2 linked regions of the Nothobranchius furzeri genome follow. The protein of the gene in region 2 interacts with the protein of the main gene of each other region in a pairwise test. Links are inferred from orthologs where the notes say so. Each region holds a gene or a part of one and is shown on either strand. Other genes may lie near its edges.

The links.
Region 1: the proteins of retreg3 (region 2) and signal-transducing adaptor protein 1 interact in binary tests that used the Homo sapiens proteins (3 or more experiments, as listed by UniProt). The two-hybrid records come from large-scale screens. The link is inferred for Nothobranchius furzeri from reciprocal best matches to the Homo sapiens genes RETREG3 and STAP1.

What each region holds. Positions count from the first base shown.
Region 1 is NC_091741.1:91,828,761-91,832,845, forward strand, and holds the end of signal-transducing adaptor protein 1, read right to left. Parts: intron 1,347-4,085; coding exon 1,244-1,346; intron 1,174-1,243; coding exon 991-1,173; intron 906-990; coding exon 757-905; 3' UTR 616-756; downstream 1-615. UniProt on the Homo sapiens protein: In BCR signaling, appears to function as a docking protein acting downstream of TEC and participates in a positive feedback loop by increasing the activity of TEC.
Region 2 is NC_091745.1:7,580,423-7,583,311, reverse strand, and holds the end of retreg3 (reticulophagy regulator 3), read right to left. Parts: coding exon 2,764-2,889; intron 2,201-2,763; coding exon 2,121-2,200; intron 1,714-2,120; coding exon 1,581-1,713; intron 1,504-1,580; coding exon 959-1,503; 3' UTR 728-958; downstream 1-727. UniProt on the Homo sapiens protein: Endoplasmic reticulum (ER)-anchored autophagy regulator which exists in an inactive state under basal conditions but is activated following cellular stress.

The sequences.
Region 1 (4,085 bases), on a different chromosome or scaffold from region 2:
GATTACAATTCGACAACAAATTATGAAAGAACAGATTAAATGCGCGGATTCTTCCTGATGTAAGAGGTGAGTCTACTCTTTGTTTTGGTAGTTTTGACAATGACATCATCCTAGTGCGGAACGTTAACTGTCTCCTTAAAAAACAGTGAAAACTGAAAAACGCGGGCAGCGAAAAGCTTTTCTGATCAGGAAATGGCTGGCAGTGAATGAGTTAAGACTAGTGTTTCTGCCATCATAAAACATATTCTACAACTCTTTACATGAGCATGAATATAATCAGCAGCATTAAAATGTTTAAAAATCTCAAAGAAACAAAATAAAAGCATGAAACAAAGATCCAGAGCAGGAAAACAAAGATGTAATGAAAGGAAGTGGTCATCTTCAGTTTAAAGTTTTTCACGATGTATTGGAAAAGTTTAGGTTTTTTAATTATTAACGTTGAATATACCCTCTCTTAAGCAACTAGTGAAAGTAAAAATAAAACCAGAATCTAAGAATCTACACCAACATGAGAACAGAGGATGTTCCTGAACGAATCCTCAAAATGTCCTTAAATTAACCAAGTTTAGTGTATTTTTCTCTCTGCTTTAACAGCAGATGTCTTTAGATTACACACACAGAGACTTTTAGGGCCATTGAATGATCTGCTAGAATTTCCTTCATCCCTGACCTTTGACCTCACAGCACCATTGAAGCTCCTCAGCAGTAACGCCTGTGGAGGCTGAGCTCAGTCAGATTCACAGAGAAAGATGAGACTTATGCCTTTGGACCGCCGCACTGCACCGTCCAGCTGGCCCTCCGATCAGCCTCATTCTCATAAGCATCAGCTTCATCTTGTCCAGATTCGCTGTAGATATTTTCTCTCCTCGTCTTTAAAGCCTTTCGAAGCTCATTACCCAGCTGAGCTTGTTTGAACAAAAACAAATTATTTTTTAACAAATGTATTCATTAAAGCTGGCTTCATCATACAAACCATGAAGGGACACTCACCTAACTTCCTGTTGTGATCAAGAGAATCATCTGGCACCACGTACTCTCCTTCATCAGGTTTGTGCGGAGGCGGAGGGAGCTTCTCTTTGGTCTGTGAACGCAGCAGCGGTGCTACTTGTGCTTTGGGTGGCGCTACGGATGATGGAGAGGGGATGCTGACACACTCTGGAGCAGAGGACGGTACTGTGGATCAGAAACACCGGTCAGCAGCTGAAGCTGATCATCTCTAGAGCAGCTGTGTGTCCAGACTCACAGATATGAGTGTCGTAGGGCTGAGAATCCACATAAGGACACAGACGGTACTCTGTCTTCTCCAGGAAGAACTTCAGCACATCGTTCAGAGACGGCACGGTCACCTGAAGATCAGAACACACTTTGTTTTCATATAATATAAAGTTGTCTTTAATAGTGTGTATTAATATCTAATGTCACAGCTCTGAAAAAGGACAAATCTGAAGAATCTGTATTTTGTCATTATCTACCATTCTGATCATCTAAACTGGTTTGTGACCCAACAAATGTTGGTCTGAATTCCTTGGATTAAAAATGATCAGCCTCCATCTTAAATTGTAAAGCGGCAATATTATATGGAATTGGGTCCTGTTGTTGTCAGAGAGAAGCCACGGCTACATTTTATGGTGATAACAATGATCATCACCATAAAACCGATCACAGTAACATTTAAATCTGAGATTTGTTTTAAAAGCCATAACTCTAAAACAAAAACATTCACTGCACATATGTTTAAAAACAGAAGTCTCTCTTTACAGGAAGTAGGAATATTTACTCGACACAGTTTTCACTCTGACATTTTCAGCAGAAATGTGATGTTTAACCAGTAGTGAAAGGAGCTCCATGTATCATTAAGTGTTTAATGATTACAAAGCTCAATAAGCCACAGAACTCTATTCAGGTGTTTTTTTTTAAAGGAGTGGTTCACTCATTTAACACATTTGCAGTAGTCACTAGTAGGAATGAATGTCTTGTATGTCATATTTGGGGGGAAAACACCAGTGACCATTTCCAGGAATAGAATAGACTTTATTCTATTCCTGGGGAAATTTGCTTGTTACAGCAGCACCAACACATGAGAGAATAATTTGAAGAAAAAATAATAACAAAGTACATGTATATACACATAGGCAGTAGTCTAAAATTGTAACCTTCGACCACTAAAGGCCACGAATAAAAATAACAGAAAACTTAGTTTCTATAACTATCCAGACATACTATGTAAATCCGGTATTGAACGAGTATTGAACACACAATAGATATTGCATTGGTGTTATTGTGTACCAGGATAATACCAGTACAGCTTAAACTGAGGAGTTATACACTCTTACTGCAGAGGGGATGAAAGGTCTACGGTAGCATTCTGTTTTACATCTGGGATGTCTCAGACGGCATCTGAAGGAGCTGTCCATGGTCTCCACAGTGGAATGCAGTGGGTGGGAGGGGATTTTTAAGATGAAGGTCACTTTCCTCAGCATCCTCCTTTCACACGTCTCCTCAGCTGAATCCAGTGGGCAGTCCAGAACCGAGCTAGCTTTGTGAACTAGCTTGTTCAGTCTTGCTGTTTCAGTCAGAGCTGCATGCGCCCCAACAGACCACAACAGAGTGATAAAAGGATTTCAGCAGCTGGGAATTAACTCTGAAAAACCTCAACATCCTCAGAAGGTGGAGGCGGCTTTGGCCCTTCTTATACAGAGCATCTGTGTTGTTGGACCAGTTCAATTTGCTGTTGAGGTGAACACCCAGGTACTTAAAGGTATCCACCACCTCAGTGTCTGCACCTTGGATGTTTACTGGTGAGGAAGAGTGTTTCTCTGGAAGTCAATCGCCATTTCCTCTGTCTTACTGGTGTTCAAGCGAAGGTGGTTATGCTCACACCAGTCCACGAAGTCCAACTGAACTGTACTCCAGATCATTCCCCTCAGACACACAGCCAACAATGGCTGTGTGTCTGAGGGGAATGATCAGAGAAATTCTGGAGGTGACAGCTGCTGGTGTTGCAGGTGAAGACCAAGGTGTAGAAGGTGAAGAGAAAGGGTGAGAGCACCGTACCCTGTGGAGCTCCAAGTAGGAACTAGCAGTGACCAATATCACAGCTGAGCTTCAGACGACAGGTTTTGGAGTCGTATTTCCTGATATTTGGACATCTCACCTCAAAATGGCTGACAGCAATGTGACTCTACCACTGACTTACAACACTGATGTTTTATCTCTGTTAATAACACAAGCTTGGAGGAGTTCTGCCATGTGGTCGAGTTGCTCATGCCAACAGTTAGCTTCTACTAGCTACATTCTCTGCTGTTTCCTGGACGTTAAACCAACAGCCTTCCCCATCGTGAGTCAATTGGGAGCCCAAGTCACGCCCATCTACTGGGTCTACATGGGTCCCCGGAAGAACGAAATTATGAATGCAAGTCAAAGGGGCTGAAAACGCAATTTTCTAATTCCGCTTATGTGCCATGGTTTTCACATATGATCTCTGTGAATTTTAAAGACGCAATTAGATACCAAGAAAGTGCTTATTTTTGAATGGGGGAAACGTTACTTTAGGTTTTGTGCGAAAATAAGTCCAGGACTACAAATGTGCTTCAAGAAAGTGACGTCCTCGAACCAGACATGGAGAAAAAAAGAGAGAAAAAATGACGTCCTCGAACGTCTAAGTTCAACTAACTTCAAAATCCTTCCTTCCGGAGGGAAAAAAACACCTTAAATCTGGCTATTTAGTAAGTAGCAGCTAAGCTAGGGGAGAGGAGATTGTGTGGTGATCGTCATATCTGCAATGTACTGATGTCTGATTTGTAGTCATGCTAATTACGAACGTTTACGAGCTGATCAATCTCAAAGTACGTGACTGGCGTGGTCGAAACAGCCATGATTAGTTTTCACTTAAATTGAAGCACAACGTATGTGCGATCCAGGGCGTAAGGCAAAGAGGATTAGTAAAAAGCCCTTTTAGTCCCGTTGACTCGCATTCATATTTTCGTTCTTCCAGAGTCCCATGAGCCGACCGGATTTAGACTTAGGTTCTCTATTAATGTTAATTCACAGTGTGACGTAGATCTGTCAGGCTTTTTAAATCCTAG
Region 2 (2,889 bases):
CCCATAAAGTTCAGCCTGGCTGTTGAATCCATCAAAAATGATCCAATTTAAAGTGATTTGATCTGATCTGGGATTTCTTTACAAACGAGAAACACGTCATAGAGACAGCTCGTGCAGGGACAGCCAAACTAAAAATAATCAACACTATTTCCACACATTCATAAATATACTGCACAAATATAACAGTACTCTGCTGGTTCAGGTAAGACTGATGTGGCCGACTAAATAAGCTCCCAAAGACAGATGTTTGCTTCTGTAATCAGAAAAACAAAACAGCGGAGTCATCCTGACAATTCAAATTTTTATGCAGATCAGTGAAATTTTAGAAAACACAACAGCTAACAAGAGTTTAAAAGCTAAAAGCTCTGAAAACATGCAACATAAAATAACCCCCCCTCTCATAAGAGGACAGAAACGTCCCACCACTAAATCCCATCTCAAAGGTTTGATAACTGGTTCATGAAGGATCGACGACTCCAGCAATGACTGAATGCACTTTAACATTAAAAGCTCCTTCATGCTGTCATTACTCATCAAAGACGGCTCAGGTTAAGCAACAGGAATGTCACATTTGGTCCTACAATAAAAAGCCCTGAAGGTCAAGTCCTCTGTGTAAAAAAAGGTTTCACAGGGCGGAGCTGTGTGTTCTGGGTACGAACAATGCCGTGTACCCAAATGTGTGATGTAGTTTACTTTGTTTTTGTGTTTCCTATTGCTCAGCCTACAACCTAAAAACTCCATCATCAAGAATTCAAACGTATAAAACAAGGATTTAAAAAGAGGAGAATGAAATACTTCACAGTGACTTACTGATGCCTACCAGAAGCAGGGCTGCTGGAACCTAAAATCACCTCACACGCACACACACGCGCGTGCGCGCACGCACACACACACACAATCATCATTTTACACTCTACCCACATAACTGCACACCCTCAGCAAAACACACACACACACTTCACTGTGGTTTACCAAGCAGGCTGGAGAAGAAGTTAGACCCCTGGCTGTCACCCCGTCTAGAACCCCCCCCTCCGAAGGGATCCATCTGGTTCAGTTCAGACTGATCCAGCATTTCAAAGTCTTCTGCATCCAAGTCCGTGTCAAACTCAGAGCTGGACTGTTTGCGGTAGCTCCGGTGGCCCCCGACCTGAGGGTGACCTTGCCTGCGTTGAGTGGTGGGAGGCCGAGGTTGCATTGCGCCCGCCAGCGCTGCCTGAATCATGTTGCTGGCAATGACTCCAGCCAAGTCTCCACTGATATCTGAGACAGGTGGAAGACCGCCGAGAGAAAGTTCTGAGTCCAGATCCTCCTGATCCGAGTCCAGATGAGCATCAACATCCAGCACTGAGGCCCGGTGACTAGCAGGTCCAGACAGACCCAGACTGGGCAGTCCGATGCTTGTGTCGTCTTCATCATCCATCAGGGTGGCATCGGGGTTAATGGATGGGAAGTCTGGGAGGTCTTGGGCAAAAGATTCTTCTGCGTCACTGTGTCTGTCGAGATCTGATCAAATGCAGACAGAAAGACGTCAGAGGAGAGATCAAAAAAGAAGATCAAGCAACAAAAAGCAGGAGCCTCACCTTCAGAGCCCTCTGTGAGCGGGGTCTGACCTCGCGACAGGTTGAATGTCCCGTTATCAGTGTAGGACACCTCGGCATCGGAGTGTTCAGAGTCGGTCAAGGCAAGTTCTTTTGCAACAACAGCATCATCAAACTGGAAGACAAAAAAAGAGTAACATATTTTTAATTTCCTGTGTTAGACAAAAGTAAAAAATCTTTACGCTTCTTTTCTATTTCCCTCTACCATAAGAAATGCTTTCGGTTTTATGTCCTCCCTGTTTGCTCTCACAGACTTCAGCATAAACAAAAAAGCAGTGGCAAGCCAACCACAACAGGAAAAGTGCTTGATGTGCTACTGTAACCAGAGGTGTGCTAAAGGACAAACCAAGAGATGTAGAGGAAACGCTTGGTATTAGATCAATGCTGCGCTTTAGGTTGTGCTAAATACTGAATAAACTGAAAGGGTAACAGACGTATTATTGCTGTTTCTATTGTAGTTGAGATGCTTCTGTTCACAAATCAGAAAAACTCAACTTGAATATAAAGGTTTAAGGAACTTACAGTTGGGCAGAAAGCAGCCAACTCCTCCTCACTGTCGCTGGCTTCACCCGAGGCTGCACTGCGGATCGGCATTCGCAGGACTGGAAAGTTTAGATGAAGCAGATAAATAACTCATTATTGCCCTTAGGCCCTTATAACATGTTCCAAAACCAAACTAACAATACACACAAAGCTCTGCGGAGTTGCACTGAATTTATAGAACAACAAACAATAATAAAAAGCAGCTTTTCTCATCACATCCTATCAGATTTTGAATTATGAACAACTAAATCATCCTTTTAAGACTCTGGACTGCTGTTGCATTCAGTTTCTATATGAAATAAACCCAGAAAAAAAACAGAAGTAAAACTAATGTGACTCTAGCAATTAAACAACAAAGTGCCTCAGACAAAATGGCAACAGGAAAGTTCTTCTAGCAAAACAACATATCTGTTTAATAAAACTGAACATCTTTTTACGGCCACCGGAGGGCGCTAAAGAACCAGCCATTACAACAGAACAGCCTGCCAACTATCAGTAAATGAAAAAAAAACTTCTTGCTGAAATGTTAAAAGTGAGAAACGACGAGTTTCTGCTAAAATCTAACGGATCTGATTGGTATTATAAAATGAATAACAGGGCTAAACATGTTTCTGTGACTTACATTGGTTGTCGATGGGCTTTGACATCATGTATCCACGAACGCTGAAGTCCAGCCTCTGCAGGGCTGGCTCCAGCTTCGCACACACACCCTGGAAAACCCTGTGATAGGCACCCAGAGGGGCCAGGA